4 linked regions of the Coturnix japonica genome follow. The protein of the gene in region 3 purifies or fractionates together with the protein of the main gene of each other region. This does not show direct contact. Links are inferred from orthologs where the notes say so. Each region holds a gene or a part of one and is shown on either strand. Other genes may lie near its edges.

The links.
Region 1: the proteins of DUSP4 (region 3) and MAPK14 purify together in Homo sapiens (affinity purification with mass spectrometry; 3 studies listed by BioGRID and IntAct, with this or other methods). This does not show direct contact. The link is inferred for Coturnix japonica from reciprocal best matches to the Homo sapiens genes DUSP4 and MAPK14.
Region 2: the proteins of DUSP4 (region 3) and MAPK1 purify together in Homo sapiens (affinity purification with mass spectrometry; 6 studies listed by BioGRID and IntAct, with this or other methods). This does not show direct contact. The link is inferred for Coturnix japonica from reciprocal best matches to the Homo sapiens genes DUSP4 and MAPK1.
Region 4: the proteins of DUSP4 (region 3) and MAPK8 purify together in Homo sapiens (affinity purification with western blotting; 3 studies listed by BioGRID and IntAct, with this or other methods). This does not show direct contact. The link is inferred for Coturnix japonica from reciprocal best matches to the Homo sapiens genes DUSP4 and MAPK8.

The regions. Positions count from the first base shown.
Region 1 is NC_029541.1:531,754-535,313, forward strand, and holds part of MAPK14 (mitogen-activated protein kinase 14), read left to right. Parts: intron 1-220; coding exon 221-332; intron 333-837; coding exon 838-867; intron 868-1,352; coding exon 1,353-1,400; intron 1,401-1,876; coding exon 1,877-1,991; exon of another isoform or gene 1,992-2,999; coding exon 3,000-3,071; intron 3,072-3,560. UniProt on the Homo sapiens protein: Serine/threonine kinase which acts as an essential component of the MAP kinase signal transduction pathway.
Region 2 is NC_029530.1:385,747-390,104, forward strand, and holds the start of MAPK1 (mitogen-activated protein kinase 1), read left to right. Parts: upstream 1-1,546; 5' UTR 1,547-1,770; coding exon 1,771-1,913; intron 1,914-4,358. UniProt on the Homo sapiens protein: Serine/threonine kinase which acts as an essential component of the MAP kinase signal transduction pathway. MAPK1/ERK2 and MAPK3/ERK1 are the 2 MAPKs which play an important role in the MAPK/ERK cascade.
Region 3 is NC_029519.1:44,028,682-44,032,870, forward strand, and holds the start of DUSP4 (dual specificity protein phosphatase 4), read left to right. Parts: upstream 1-1,363; 5' UTR 1,364-1,385; coding exon 1,386-1,929; intron 1,930-4,189. UniProt on the Homo sapiens protein: Regulates mitogenic signal transduction by dephosphorylating both Thr and Tyr residues on MAP kinases ERK1 and ERK2.
Region 4 is NC_029521.1:15,676,596-15,680,723, forward strand, and holds the start of MAPK8 (mitogen-activated protein kinase 8), read left to right. Parts: upstream 1-1,301; 5' UTR 1,302-1,412; intron 1,413-4,128. UniProt on the Homo sapiens protein: Serine/threonine-protein kinase involved in various processes such as cell proliferation, differentiation, migration, transformation and programmed cell death.

The sequences.
Region 1 (3,560 bases), on a different chromosome or scaffold from region 3:
CTGGGATGCCCCATGCTAATGGACTCTTCCAGCTTGTTTTATTGGCCAGTGCTGTGGGAATTAGCGCACTGATCTGCTACTTTATTTAATGAGCTATGATTTATATTTTATTCAGTAAAATGCTCAGGAGGCTGCTGTGCTACAGGAGCTTTGTAAGAAATTCTTATGCTAATCGTGTTGAAGGGATTGCTTCATTGCCTGTGTTTCCTTTTGTTGATAGGTACTTGGTGACACACCTCATGGGAGCAGATCTAAACAATATTGTGAAATGCCAGAAACTCACAGATGACCATGTGCAGTTCCTCATATACCAGATTCTTCGGGGGCTGAAGGTACCTGCTCCTGTGTTGCCTGAATGCTGATAGCTCCTCAGCAGGAATTGGAGCTTGTCGATGAATGTCACATCCTCACAGTTTCATACGAATACACAGAGGGGCTTCCTTAATGTTCCTAAGTATTGTAGGATAACCTGTTATTGTTTTTTTTCCTTTCATACCTCTTTGGCGTATCCATAAAGCTGTGTACAACTTCAGAAGATACATAGATATGTTCCTGTGGACAAAGTCTAGAAAGTCACGATGTGTGCTTTACTTTAATCTACCTCATCTCTGTCTTCAGTTTGGTTTTCTTACATTGTTCCACTCCTGGCAGTAGCGCTTGTGGGTTTTCCTAAGGGGAGACTGAAGGTGAAACACTGATGTACTTGCAAGCTCTATTGATGCTGTACTTGGTTCCTCCTGCAGACAAGGGTGGGATAGGACAGTGTTGTCTAGTGAGGAAATGAGAAGAAGGCTGTTTGAGCTGTTGTATGTCATTATTTGTCATTTTGCTTTACAGTACATCCATTCAGCTGACATAATACACAGAGTAAGTATTTACCCTAAGATTACTTCCTATACTGGACAAAATGTCTTTAAAAAATGTAACATAGAATCTTACAGTGTAGCCTCTGTTGAATTAAGGAGAAATTGTCTGAGAATTATTTTTGTAGAACAGTAGAGGATAGTGATGGTTCTCCTGATCATTAATTTCTTCTCCTACCTCTGTTTGGCTTGTCTCTTTGTGGAATAAGTTCGCTGTTAATTATTACACCACTAACGCAAGTCCTGTAGATACATAAACATGCATTTTTGCTTGTATTCTGCACCTCTGCAGACAGCGCAGGATAGAGCTGGTTCTGGGATAAAATTATTTTTTTGAATATGGAGAATTGATGTTGAAAGCCACAAAGATGATTGATTTTTTTCTACCGGACTTTAAATTTTAATCTAATTCAGACTTTTACAACAGCATATATACAGCCATTAATGCTGATGCTGTTTAATTTTTATTTTTTTATTATTTTTTTTTAGGATTTAAAACCTAGTAACTTAGCTGTAAATGAAGACTGTGAGCTAAAGGTAAGACAGTCATGGCATGTGACTTGTTTGACTGTGATCCAAGTGAATGCTGTCTGAATCTTCCTTGAAATGAAGGGTGCAAAGTGATTTTTCATGGAAATACTTCAGTGAAACAAGCTAGTTGTGTCCTTCTCAGTCATAAAATGTTGTGAAGATGCTTATATAGAAGCATCTCTCTTCTGTGTGTTCATGTGTTTTGTTTGTTTGTTTTTGTTGTTAAATCAATCTGAGAATAAGCAGTTAATAGCTGTGGTTTGGACTTTTTGCTATTTTCAGAGACAAGATATCTGGGTGTGATGCTGATGGAGTGCTGTGCTGTTCTCGCCTTTTAACAAGTCATGAAATTTAGTTTTGTTGTGGTTGCGCCACCTGTCCTCCACTCAGTGCAAGACTTGGAAGCTGTAAGGAGCAAACAGCCGGACGTGGTACCACTGCAGTAATAGGCGGATGTCTTTTTTGTTGTTTTTATTACGTAGATCCTGGATTTTGGTTTGGCTCGACAAACTGATGATGAAATGACTGGCTACGTGGCTACAAGGTGGTACAGAGCTCCAGAGATCATGCTGAACTGGATGCATTACAACCAAACAGGTGATCCATTTTACTAATAAAAGGCTTCTTGGTTCCTGAGTTCCTTGTGGGGAGGTCCAGGGAAGGTTCATGTTCTGTTCCATTTGATTGTGTAAATTGACAGTTACGCTAATTACACTTCAGTGATTAAAAGAAGTAAGACGCAAATTAGTTTTAAAACCACAATCTCATATCTAAGGTATGAACTATTATGATAGTGTTTACAACGCTTCCTTAAACTTCAACCTTTGAAACTGCACTTGGAGCAATCTTGTCACTACTTACCCCTTTTCCTAGCACAACTACTTTTAAAGTAAGTGAATAGAATGTATCTAGGTGAGAAAGACGGTGCCTTTCTAGAAAGCTGCTGGAAATGCATTTTAAAAATGTCTGTGATTATGGAGTACAGAAATGCTAAAGATGCATAGAAGTGTCCCTTTCTTCTTAGCCACTTCTTTTTCATCACGTCCTCCTGGTTTGATTGGCTTCCCAGCAGCGCACCGTTATTCCCTGTGAATAAAAGAATGCTTTCAGATCAAGCACAGTAAGGGAAAGAAAGGGCAGATTTTTTCTAGTACATGAATGCTTACTAGTCAATACAAATAACATGCTGTTCTAATTTCAGACCTCACTGATTCTGTGTTTTGTCTTTTCCTCCTGTGTGTACATGGGCCTGTCTTGTCTGTAATGTAGGAGTTGGTGGTTGTTCAGGTGGCATTTATGTAAGACCAGATTCATTCCTTATAGCTATCTTTAACAGATTTCTTCCTTGATTATGTAGATGCCTCCATAGCTCTTTGGTGTCCAATGCACAATACATTCTGGAAGGAAAAGTTGTCTATCTTGTCATCATTGGGAAAAGTCTTACTCAAAGTGGTTAATGAGCAGTGCCAGTTTCCTTGCAACCTCAGGTTCTTTCAACACCGTGAGATTACTGAAGTGTAACAGCGGTTGTAATTGTTGGATAGAGTGATTTTATTGAGACTTCATTTTTCTGCCTTACGATTTTATTTATTTTATTTTGTTCAGTTGATATTTGGTCAGTGGGATGCATTATGGCTGAACTGTTGACTGGAAGAACGTTGTTCCCTGGTACAGACCGTATCCTTTACAAGTGACATGATTTCCAAACTGGAATTTAGAGGTTTTCTCTTTGATGTGCTTCCCAAGGAAATGAGTTTTGTGTTGTTTGGTTGGGTGATGGTGATTTATTTATTTATTTATTTTTCCTCTTTGTTTCTAACTAACGTATGGCTTCTTCTACTCACAGTATGATGGAGTTCTCAATTTTGCTGCATGTGGAGTCATTGCAGTGTGCAGGGAGGCAAATCTATTACTGTTTATTTCTGTTAGCATTACTAGAGTTGATCATTTCTGGGAGTGAATTTCTTTTAAATTTGAGTCCATCTCTTTTTGAGTTCATAGGAAAATAACTGCTTGGAGTTGTCTGTGCTGTTAATTCCTCTCATGCTTCATGTTTGTAGGAAATGGGAAGCCCCTCTTCTGTATCCTGTTGGTATGCTATGAAAGCAGTGCATTTGCAGACTTCAGTGCCAGGGACCTCATCCCAAACTGCTCTGAAATGTTTAG
Region 2 (4,358 bases), on a different chromosome or scaffold from region 3:
CGTGGCATGCTCAAAACAAATATAGCTGTTTACCACTTTTAAGTCCATAATCTATAAACCACCATAATAAGCTTCCTGCAAAGTCGGTCAGAATGCTGAGCAGGGAAGAAACAAATACTGGGGGAAAAAGAAAGTGAGTTTGTTTTGGCATCAAATTGCCCTGCACTTTGGGCAAGATACTGCTTTTATCTGCCCAACAGCATAAAATGACAGAGATTCTCAGTCACGGGGAGGTCACTTTACACTGCTGAAGCAGTGGATGACATTTAAATGACAACTTGTCCCGTGGGCTTTCGGCTGTATGACACCAGTTCAATCAGGCCCAGGTAGGTTCTGATTAGAAGTCATTAGCATCTGATGCTCTTTATGACTCTCTTAGGATGGCTCCCAGTGGATCAGAGCTCATATCCGAGCAATTTCAGTTTGTGTCACATTCATCACCATGGTTGCTGACTGCCTTAGAAGTTAAAATACATCTTTATAGAATGCCTTACATGTCTTACTTCTCTTTCTTCTCCTCCAGGCAGAGGCTTGAAGTCTCCTTAAATAACACTTGGAAAATTGCTTTCTGTACTGGATGTCTGCATTTGGTTTGGACGACGGGGCACTGGGAGCACAGCACTGAGCACAGCACTGAGAGCACAGCACTGAGCACAGCACTGAGAGCACAGCACTGAGCACAGCACTGAGAGCACAGCACAGAGAACACAGCACAGAGCACAGCACTGAGAGCACAGCACTGAGCACAGCACTGAGAGCACAGCACTGAGAGCACAGCACTGAGCACAGCACTGAGAGCACAGCACTGAGCACAGCACTGAGAGCACAGCACTCTCCCTGCTTCTCCCAGGCCCCTTGTTTCTTTTACTTGTTACCTTTAAGTTTCCTTTACTTGTTTCTATAAACTACCTTTAAGTTTCCTGCATCACTGTTCAGTTTGAGTTTTAGCAGAGAAAACGAAATCCCCAAGAGCAGCACTGTGGGGCAGCTGTTTGTGCTTTTTCTAAGCCCAATGATGCTGTTCATTTTCTTCTCTCCACTCGTCATTACCCGCCGTCATTTCGTGGTATCAGCATCCCCTCAACATAACGCCGTGTTTCAGCCATCAAACCAATGACCTGCTTGAGACACCTTCCCATTCCTTCTGTCACTGATGCTTTAATGTCAGCTCAGACAGACGGCCCGGCCCGGCTGCGTGTGACAGCACCGTGTGTGACAGCACCGTGTGTGACAGCACCGTGTGGGCGCGGGAACGCGCACGTAGCGCCGGACACGGAGCCGCGGGAACGGCTGCGTGTCCGGCCCAGAGCGACGCGCACGGAGCTCGTCCCCGCACGGTGCTCGTACCCGCCGTGCTCGTCCCGTCCCGTCCCGTCCCGTTCCCCCCCATCCCGGTCTCCATTTCCTCCCGCCATCACCTGACTCCTCTAATGGCGGCGCTCGGAGCGGCCGCGCCCACCACGTGACCCGCCGCCCACGTGACCCGCGCGCCGCGCCCCCTCCCCGTCGGTTGCGGTTACCGCAGTCCGAGGCCCCCCCGGTCTCGCCCCGCCCCCCGCCCCCTCCCGTCCCGTCCCGTCCCCGCTCTGGTGGCGGTGGTTGCTCGGCGGGTCGGTTCGTTCCGTTCTCCGCGGCCCGTTCTCCGGCCGGTGCTTCTCAGCGCGGTGTGGCGGAGCCGCCTCCTTCCTCCTCGCTCCCTCCTTCCCGTCCCCTCCTTTCTCCTCCCTCCCCTCCCCGCACGCAGTCGCCGCGGTTCCCGGCACGGACAACATGGCGGCGGTGGCGGGGGCCGCGGCCGCGGGCGGCTCTACCGGCACCGGGGGCCCGGAGATGGTGCGGGGCCAAGTGTTCGACGTGGGGCCGCGATACACCAACCTCTCGTACATCGGAGAGGGGGCGTACGGCATGGTGTGGTGAGTACGGCATGGTGTGGTGAGTACGGCATGGTGTGGTGAGTACGGCACGGGGTGGTGAGTACGGCATGGGGTGGTGAGTACGGCATGGTGTGGTGAGTACGGCATGGGGTGGTGAGTACGGCATGGGGTGCTGAGTACGGCACGGGGTGGTGAGTACGGCACAGTGTGCTGAGTACGGCATGGGGTGGTGAGTACGGCTCGGGGCGCTGTGTGAGTGCGGCCGGGAGCGGCCCGCGCGGCCTCGGGGCGGGGCAGGTGAAGGTGAAGGCCGGGCGGCCGCCGCTTGCCCTGCCCTGGGCCCTGCCCTGCCCCGCTGTGCCCTGGGCCCCGCTGTCCCTTTGTGCGGCGCTCACCTGGCTGCTGCTGCTGCTGCTGCTGCTGCTGCCCGGGCCTCCCGCTGCGGCTGCGGCCGGGTGGCTCCGCTCGGCCCTGCCCGGCTGGCAGGCGGCGGCCGGGCCGTGTGTGCGCGTTCTGCGCCGACCGGTCCGAGCTCCGAGCGCCAACCGCGAAATGCGGGACAACGATCGCGAGATTTTGGCGTTGTAGCAGCGGCCCCGACGTGCCGGGCCGAGCCGCGGTGCTGCCGCTGAGCTCCGGGCTGGGCCGGCCGTGCTCGGCTCGGGGCACCTGCTCTGCATGGGCGGCTGTGGATGGGAAACGCAGCTCCTCGTTGACGGGCCCATCGCGGCGCTTCCCGGTGTGTTGTGTGACCGGAGGTGCTGTGTGACACTCGCAGCTATGGTTGTGTAGCAGCTTTGCTTTCTCTCTCTGTCGGTTCGTGCTTTGTAAACCGCAGTGTATCGCTCAGCAGAGCTGCCTTGCTGCCTTCAGCTGCACGCTGTGGATCTGCAGGTTTCCTCTCGCAGCTGTGGGGATGTGCTGCTCCGTCACGGTGAGGCCGAGCTGTGTTGGTGGGAGCTGGAGCCGCTCCTGAGCTGCTGGGGAGGCAGACAAACATCTGCCAGGAACTTTAAAGCTGCGGCCTTTGCTTTTGTGTTGTGGGAAGAAGCTCCAGCACATAAACCAAAAAAAACAAAAGCTCCCGTTGATGGTGTAAAAATAACCTTGTTATTGGTTTAGTGCTGGAAGTCACAACAACGGCCCGTCCAGAGCTCGTGTTCCAGGTGTTGTTATTGTGTGCCTTTATCAGCGGAGCCGGGTGGCAGCTCGCAGCCCCAGCAGAGCTTGGTGCCCGCAGAGCGATCCAGGCAGGAGCTGTGAGCAGCGCCGTGCCGTGCGGTACCGAGGTGGTGCCGCAGCCGGCTGCTCACGCTGAGATGTTTGTGCACGGCGCAGTGCGGTGGCAGCTGATGCCCTTTTTTGGCGTCACCGTGATTGGGAGCAGACAGGGAAACGGGGTCCTTCTCTTCCCCTGCACACGGTGTGTCACTCCATTCTGTTATGGAAGGGTTTCCTCTCTGAAACTGTGGAATATTATCGTCTGTTTGGAAACTTGCCATATTAAATGATATTCTGCTTCAAATGCTATCTGTATTTCTTAACAAAAAATTCTGAATCTCCAGTTTAGTTGAGATATTCATTTGGCTCCTTTGTTTTCTTCTCTAAAGCTGTTGGTGTGAAATCCTGAACGTGATACATTGCACTGTAATTATTGATCTTCTGCCTTGGGTGTGAAATGCCAGGGAACAAAGTCTCAGTTTATGCGTGTTTGACAAAGGAGGTGCTGGATGCACATGTTCCAGCTGAATGCCATAGCAACTGTCATGCCTTGCAGCGCAGCACACCGACTACTATGGTTAAGTAACAGTGCTTACTGAGCAGTGCAGGTAGAGCTTATGCAGATTCGTACTGCGTGTCCCGGGTCTTGCTTTGACTGTAACGCAGTGCAGATCTGCAGAGCATCTCCCTTCCGGGCTGGGGTGGCAGAGGGCAAAGCCACAGGGTGCAGGTGGAGACAGCTCCTGCTATTGAAAAGCCATTTAGGTTTGTACTCTTAAGAAAGGACAGCAAGGCAAGCGTTAATGGCTTTGTTTTAGGCAGTCAGCTGATGTGTATGAGACAGAAGGTGCTGGTTATTTCTAAATGCATTGTGCTGTAAGGCTTGCTATATGCAAAATGGGTGGCTTAACTCTTAGTGGAATCCCTCACTCGCTTATTTTTCACAAGTGTTATGTTTCCACATCGCTGAATTAGGGAGTTCATATTTAAAAAACATCTTGCTGGGAGTTAAGAGGTTAATAAGTGGGTATCCATGTAAGCATCCCTTCCCAAACTGTTGTTTTTCACTTTTCTTGCACGTGGAACCAGGGGATGAGCACCATGCTGAGATGTAGCTGAAATCCGCAGCACCTTGCTGACAGTAAGACATGAAATAGCAAATACAGGGCTTTGTTGGCCTGGGATCAGCCAGTACTGGCTGCTGCTGGAAGCTGCGGAGCTCTCAGGTGCAGTGATGGCTCTGGAACGAAGCTGCCCCTTCCT
Region 3 (4,189 bases):
TAGATTTCCTCTCAAGCTAATTGCGGCAAGGGAGATTCCTGCGATGGCGGATCTCCATCAGACACCCATGCACGTGCACATATATCATTGCTCCGTCCTGAAATAGTATCTTCCATCGATGCTTGTGTGAACATTCAGATATAGGCAGCCCCAATTCCCCCCTCCTGTGCCAACGCTCCCTTTCTCTCCCATCTCAGAGTTGGGTTCAGCCACATGGGAAAAAACAGGACTGGGTTCTGGCTCCAAGGACGTCTGCACTGTGCCCTTGGTTAGGCAATGTCAGTACAAGGAAGAATGCCTGCTGAGGTCTGCCTCTGCTCAGTAGGAAGAGATTTCTTCTTTCCATGTTTCTAATGCAGGCTGGGACAGGAGCAAACTGAGCTCCCATCCCTGCTCTATTTGTTAGCAGGCTCCACTATGTTTGTAGCATGCGGTGCAGCAACCAGCAGCTATGCCTGCCCGTAGCTGGGTTGTGGTGGCTTGCTGGAGAAGGGCTGGCACAGCACATGAGAGCCATGGGCGGGCACACACAAGAGTGGTAAACCTGGCAGAGAACACGCTGTAAGTAAGAGGCAGCACCAGGCCATGGGGTTGGTATCAGTTTGAGGCTTCCAACACGTGCAGTAGGCCGGGTTCATCCCAGGCAGGGATGCACTGCACCGTGTCATCTGCCCTGCCCGAACAAACAGCCACTGGCATGCAGGGGAGGGGCTGCCTGTCTGTCTGGGTGCTGCCCTCTATGGACTGGGCAGATGGGCTTGGAGAAACTGCGGGCCCTTCATTTGGTTCGCTCCATTTCTAAGGCTGTAGATCAGCACACGGGCATCTTCATATGCCCCCTGGAGCAGACAGCCGTGGCCTGGTAGAGTCTCCTTTCAGGAAGTGCCCCAGCCATGGCTTGAAATTGGGTTTTGCAGCATCGCTCTGGGGGGCGAGCAGCCTCAGATGGGGATTGTGAGCAAAATGGCTGCGTGGTGCCTTGGTGGTCCCCGCAGGGTCCTGGAGGTGCTTCCTGGACGGGCTGCCGCTTCACCGGCCGTTCCTGACGGGGAGGGGGGTGGGTTGAAGTGCGGCAGCGGCAGAGCAGCGCTCAGGGGGAGCCTGGAGAGGGAAACGTGCCCGAGAGCAACACGCGCTAAAGGACAAAGGGAGAAGGAGCACGAGCATAAGCGCGCGTCCTGAGGTCGCTTGTACGTGTACGTGTGTATGTGTGTGTGTGTGTGGGGGTGACCCACCGAGGTGGGGGGACGAGGAGGGGGGCAGGAGGGGGGGGGCCTCCCCCCGCTGTGAGCGCGGCTCCCCGCAGCGCCCGCCCTCCCGCCGCCTGTCCCCATTCACAAAAACGCGGCGAAGATGGCGGGCGGGCGGCGAGCCCTTTTTTGTGAATGGAGGCGGTGACGTCGGCCGCGCCCTTGCGCCGCCTTCCCTCCATTCATTCCTTGGGCTGGATGCAGAGGGGCGGGGCGGCGCGGCGGGTAGTAAAGGTTGGGGCGGCCCGGGGCGGAGAGCGGCCGGAGCAGGGAGCGGGGAAACGCGGCCCCGACATGGTGGCCCCCGAGGGGCTGCGGGAGATGGAGGGCAGCGCCCTGCGGCGCCTGGTGGGACGCGAGGAGGCGAGCGGCGGGCGCTGCCTGCTGCTGGACTGCCGGCCCTTCCTGGCGCACAGCGCCGGCCACATCCGCGGGGCGCTCAACGTGCGCTGCAACACCATCGTGAGGCGGAGGGCCAAGGGAGCCGTGAGCCTGGAGCAGATCCTGCCGGCCGAGGGCGAGGTGCGGGCGCGGCTGCGCGCCGGGCTGTACACCGCCGTGGTGCTGTACGACGAGCGCAGCCCCCGCGCCGAGGCCCTGCGGGACGACAGCACCGTGACCCTCGTGCTGCGAGCCCTGCGCCGCGACATGGCGAGGGCCGACATCCGGCTGCTGGCAGGTAAACGGGGCAGAAACGACGGGGTGGGCGCCCGGAGATCCACGGGGAAGGAGGGAGGGACGAGCCCCGAGTGCGGCTCCGTCCCCGGGGCCGATCGGGCCCTTCGCCGTGGGGAGCGCCCCGGGAGGACGCTGCGATTGTGCCGCGGGAGCCGGTGCTGAGGGTCGGGGTGGGGGGTATCAGGAGAAATTCCTTCTCCCGAAGAGCGGTGACGCATCGGCACGGGCTGCACGGGGAGGCGGTGCGGTCACCGGCCTCGGAGGGGTGCAGGAAACGTGGAGATGTGGCACTGAGCAACGCGGTCAGTGAGCACGGCGGGGATGGGCTGCGGGTTGGACTGGACGGTCTTAGGGATCTTTCTAACCTTAACGAGTCTGTTCTTTCGTGCTCTTTGCGTGGGAGGCTGTGAGCAAGCAGGGCTGCTGGGCTGGAGGGGCCCTGCGAGGTTCTGTAGAAGAAAAGGGTTCTCACTGGGTTGGTTCTGACCCCCTGAGAGTGAATGTGTTCCATGGTTTGCTCCCAGCAGTGGTGAGAACGCGTGTGCGCAGAGCAGCAAACCATTAGGAGGCTCTCACGGATGGAGCAGGAGCGCAGCTGAGGGCTCATTGGGAACCTGCTTCGGGTGCTCAGCCACGAGCTGTCACTTTGTTGGGAGCTGAGTGCTTGGGAGGGACCTGGGCAGCCTGACTGTGAATGGCAGCCAGCCCATGGCAGGGCATTAGAACTGGATGGGTTCTGAGATCCATTGCAACCTAAGCCATTCTGTGATTCTGTGATGCCCGTGTGGTTCTCAAGCAGGATTGTCTGGGGTTAGCAATCCCTTATTTCTAAGAGTGAAATCTTAGTTATTTTGAGGTATGGGCTCTTCGAGTCTCAACCCTTACACCAGAAGCCTCCTGCTTGCTTACCTTAGAAATGTAAAAGTTCCTTCTCACTCCAGTTTGCAAGAGTCACACAAACCTGGCACTGTGTGTGTCCAAAGGCATATTTACTGGGTAGCACTTTGCTAAACTGCCCTTCAATTTGATGAGGAGCATTGAAATCTTCCCTGTTGGAAGGGTCACTTTGCCTTTCCCAGGAGGAAGTTCATATTTCCACATGAAATATGGGCAGCTTTCCCATCTTATAGAATCACAGAATGGCTTTGATTGAAGGGAACCTTAAGGCTTCCAACCCGTTGCTGTAGGCTGGTTGCCCCCCATCAGCGTAGGCTGTCCAGGACCCCATCCAGCCTGGCCCTAAGCACCTCTAGGGATGAGGCATCCACAGTTTGTGGTGGTGTGATGACCATGAAAGCGGGATCGGGGTGATGGGAATGTCTACCCAGCACATCTGTGTTCTGGGTGTTCCTCCAAATTCAGCCAGCGAGACTGAAAAGGGCTTTCAGGTTCTGGAAATGCAGCCTCTGCAAACTGATCTTCTCGTGTGATGCACATTTACTGGTGTGTACATTTCCCTGCTGTAAGGGGCTGGAATTCTTCCTTGCGGAAGGGAAGAAAACCATAAAGGACGTTGAGATGCTGAATCGGTCTCCAGCTGCCAAGGGGCTCCTGGGGTGCCTTGTCAGATAAGCTTGCATCCACCTGAGAGCCAGAGTTCGCATTTCCATTGCTCTTGAGAACACCCAACCTTGTTCAGTGTCTACTTAGAGCTAAAGCTGGTGTAAGGAATGTGTCCTGCTGCATGTGCTCTGCCAGGCCCGGGCGATGAGCACCAGTCCTGCACTTGGAATGAATCTTCAGCAGCTCTCCTGGGAGACAGGGCTCCATCTGGCTGGATTCATGGCAATAATAAAATCCCTGACTTGTGTTGGCTTTAAGGCTCTACATCAGCTGACAAGGATGTCAACCATGCTGATTTGATTTGAGTGAGGACAGGAAATTTGCCCAGAGGTGCTTATCTGCTGCCCTGGGAAGCAAACAGGTGGCAGCTCTGTTGGATCTTCCTCATGGGGAGGCACAAGGTCACACCTCTGACATCTCCTTGGCAGCTGCTCTTGGCAGCTGCAGTGAGCAGCTCTTCTATAGGCACCCACCTCTGTCCAGCCCACCCTGTCCTTGGGAGGCAGGGACAGCTCTCTGCAGAGTGGCTTTGCTGTGGGTTAACATCCAGGGCCTCCTGTCTGTTGGTCTGCGGGCATTGGGACTGAGGGAACCTCTCTGCATTTTGTGTCTGAGAAAGTAGAGAATTGAACAGTCTGTAGTGCAGGAAGGCATTGGAGTTTCAGGTCACTGGTAACAAACCCTCTCTCCATTGCCTT
Region 4 (4,128 bases), on a different chromosome or scaffold from region 3:
TGGGTATGATCTAAGACAGACTAAGCTGTGCTGCGTTGTCTGGGGTTTCATACTGCTCCTTCTGCCAAGCTGAGCTTTGCCTCTTTCACACATAAACACGGCAGGGAATGCAATGTCTGATCATGATCTAACATAATTCAACAGGAAGTCTCAAACCTGAAAGCTGGCTATGTCACTTCTGGGTCTGTCTCATGGAATGACAGGTGGTGAGGCAGGAGTGGCTACCTTGGTAACATGCTTACAGTGTAGTGGGATCCAGGGACACCTGGGAGCAGTCTGAACAACAGTTTTGTTTTATTTTGTTTTCCTATAAATTGTTATGTATAGGTCTATAGGGAACTGCAAAGGAACAACTTCTAACTTAAGGGGTTGAAATAGGATTGTTTGTATTGAGAATTTTAAGGTCAGACAGTGCAGATATTTCCATAAAATGGGAATGTGAGTAGTATACAGCTTTTGACATTATGACAGTGGGTAAGACTGGAACATCTGAAGCAGTATCCTTACTAGTTAAAAATCTATTTTTTGTTTCAGAGATGTGGAAAGACAATCTCACTGCATTATTTTGCATCTTCAAAAATGTGGCACAAGCCATTCCAATGTTTGACAGTAAGATGTGAAGCGTCCAATTCACTGTGCCCTGTGCCTAACTGGTAGATTTTATGTATTTTTAAAGACTCTTCCGGAGGTTTTATTTTTAGTACTACGCAGTGTAAGTATACAAAGGCTTGTTTCAGCCATATTGACATGACTTCAAGGTATGGAGTCTGTAGACAGGGGTATTGCTGGTTGAAAGGAGAAAAACAGAGGAGGGAAGGGAAAGGAAAGGAAGAATAACAAACAGAACATTGTAAAAACAAAGCAGAGCACCCATGGGAGGTGCCAAGAGCTAAAGGTGGTGGTAATAACTCAAAATCTCACAAATAGCTGCCTAAAGCTTAGAGAACAAACGGTGCCAAACCAGATACAGAAGATGTTACACCACTCCAGATACCCAGCAATGAGATAAAGCACTGCCATTCCAGATGTTCAGGGGGAAGGCTAGGACTGCCAAGGCCTTGCAGGATGTCTGGGAACACTAGGAAACGGAGGAGAGCATGAAGGCAAACACCTGAAAAACGCAGTTTTGTTACAGCAGGCCCGGGTACAGGGCATAATGCTGGGAAGGAGCAGGCACAGCCCAGCAGACACCAGACCGGGCTCAGCGGCAGCGCTGGCAGCCTGCAGCCTCCCGCAGGGCCCGTGCCCGGAGGGGCGGCTCAGGGGCGGCGGGGGCCGGGCCGGGCGTGCGGGCGGAGCGAGCGGAGGGGGCGGGCAGCCGCAGCCGCGCCGGGCGGACGAAGCGCGGTGCGTGTGCGCGGCCCGGCCCCGGTTCATTATTCAGCGGCCGAGGAAGGAGGCGACGGGAGGTGGTATGTGCGGTGCCTGGGGTTGAGGAGGGATGGCGGTGGCGGCGGCTGGGAAGCGGGGCTGGAGCCGGGCGGGTGTGCAGGGAGCGGCAGCGCTGCGGGGGCCGGGCCTGGCCGCTTTGTTTACGTTCCAGCGCGGGGCAGCGGGCCGGCAGCGAGCGTGGCGTGGCCCTTTTCTTCCTGCGGGGTTGTCTGCGTTCGTGACCTTCCCTGCGCGCCGGGCTCCGCTGCGGCCCGGCGGTGCGGGGGCTGCTGGAGGTGCCTGGGCGGATAATGGCGGGGGCCTCTTTGTTGATGTGACAGGAGGGGCAGCAGCCTCGGCGCCGGGCTCCTCCTCTTCCCCGGGCGGGGGGCAGCAGCCCAGGCCGTGGGCAGCTCTGGCAGCCCGGCCCTCGGTGCGGGGAGGTGCGAGCGCAGCCGTGCTCAGCCACCTCTGTGCTGAACTTCCATGACCTTGCTTTCAAAACGCCTTCTGAAGCAAAAAGCACTTCCCATAACTGCTCCGATTATAGGGCTTGGGGAAGGTGGGCAATGCCTTTGATTCTTTTGCCTTTTAGTTTTTGTAATCCTTGTAAAAACAGTGAGCTCTTTGCAATTTTTCTTTGCACTTTGTTTTCTCCATGTCATTATCAGCATCCAGTTTGGCTCCTGTAGCCTGCTTTCTTATGTTCAGTGCAGTGCTTTCACCAGTGAATCCTGGCCCAGGCACTGCTGATAACCCACAGATACAAGTCCCACTCAATTGTTTAGTTCCCCCAGCTATACATGTGGCATGGCTTTGAATTTCTGTATCATGCAGAGCAGGCTTGCTGAAGTCTTTCAGACAGTCCAAAAACCTTGTGTGTTTTGGCCTATCTGATAACACAAAAGGTGCTGTACTGGTTTGTGGAAGGTGAGTTTTGCTTGCCTCCTGGGCATGTGCTTGTAGCATTTAGCAAGCTTACATTACAGCTGGCTTCTTTGTATAGGTGTGGAGACTTGGCTGTAATGGCACACAGCTGAGCTGCTGAGACACAGCCTTGTTTCTGAAGATGCCAGCAGAGGTGCTTCTAGGGCAGAAGCACATGTAGAAGCGATAATGCACCTCACTGTATCTGTATATCTGCAGATATGTTGATAGATAACTTTGAACTAGTTCAGAGTGTTATTACATGAAGAGAATCTGGGCCCAACCTGGTTAAGGATAGTATCCAAGTGAGCTCACTGATGAATTTGAGTATTCCTTCTGTATAGTGAAGGGAAGCCCTTCCTTCAGCAGTAGCAAAGAAAAATGGGTTGTATTTTGAGTAGTCTTGTTCTATGATCTCAACATGTGGGGGAAGCCATCTTGTCATTCCCCACTTGATTCAAAGATGTGTAGCATGGGCTGGTTAGATAGGAGCAGTGATCATCCCACATCAGTTTCCTTTCTTTGCTGTAGCTTTTGCTCTGTGGTCTCAGTTTCCTCCCTTGAGTTTGAGTGCCAAGAAGCTCTGATGGGAATGTCTGGTTCTGGTAGAGTGCTGCAACACACGTGATGCCTGTACAGGCATCAGGCACATTCCAGTCTGTCAGATACTGGCAGTTTTCAGGGCCAACTGGCTGAAAGTGTGACAGGAGGGAAGAATCAAACGTTTATTGACAGACATTTATTAACACAGAGCTGAATCTGTGTGAAATCGTTGCCTTAACTTTGAACGGGAATGTTAACTGTGTCCTCTGCTCTCCCAAGCTTTTTTGACCAGGGGTGCCTCCACTTCACAAGATACAATATAATCTCATGAAGTGCCGTATACTTCATGGAGACTTCTTGATCAGCGACTCGGACAAAACCCGTTTACTGCGGTACTGAATTTTGTGGTTGGGGACTACTCGTTCTAGGTAGAAGTACAGCTGCCCTTTTGTATGTGTGGCTTTTGTGTTTTAACTTCCAGTAACTGAAAGCTCATTAGGGAGCAAGGCTTTAGCTGGCTGCGTGGGAGAGCAGATGTAACAACCTTCCAAATTCTTCAGGTAAACTTGTTACATTGTTTCCCTGTTACCAAACTACCGGGAATTGACCACGTGTTTGCGTATTTCATCCATTGAAGTCATTTTCTTCCACCAATGTACCAGAACTTGTTCCTTGTGGTTTCTTTCAGCTACTAACGGGTTATCTGTTCCTTTTATATTCCCTTTGTTGTTTTGGTTTGTCCTTTCTTCCTCAACCGCCAAATTATCTGAATGGCTATTCTTTAAAAGATGCATAGAAAGTACCTGCATACATACCTCTTCCTTTCTGCAGTTTTCTCCCGTGTTCTTGATAAATGCAAATCACTTTGATAGTCTGATGAAGAGTTTAGTATTCCATGCCTTAAACTTCATTCTCTTCCTCCTCTTTACCTGTGGGAGAACGTGCTGTGTTTACAGTGTTCTTAAAAAGTGTTATTTTAATGTAATTTTTGTGTTCAAGAAAAGTTTGGATGTTGTGTTGAGGGATATGTTTTAACTGGGAAATATTGGTGTTGGTTGGACTGGATGATCTTCTAGGTCTTTTCCAACCTTGATAATTCTGTAATTCTGTTTGTTTGTTTGTTTTTTCTACTGCTTTTCATCATAGATTTTTAATAAAGACAGAATATTTTCTCTCTGTAAATGTTTTCTTCAAACAAATAAACCCTGAGTTGTTCTTCATTCAAAACCTGCAGAAACAGAAATCTGTTTATATTATGGGAAGATCTCTTGGTCCTTGAAAGCTGTT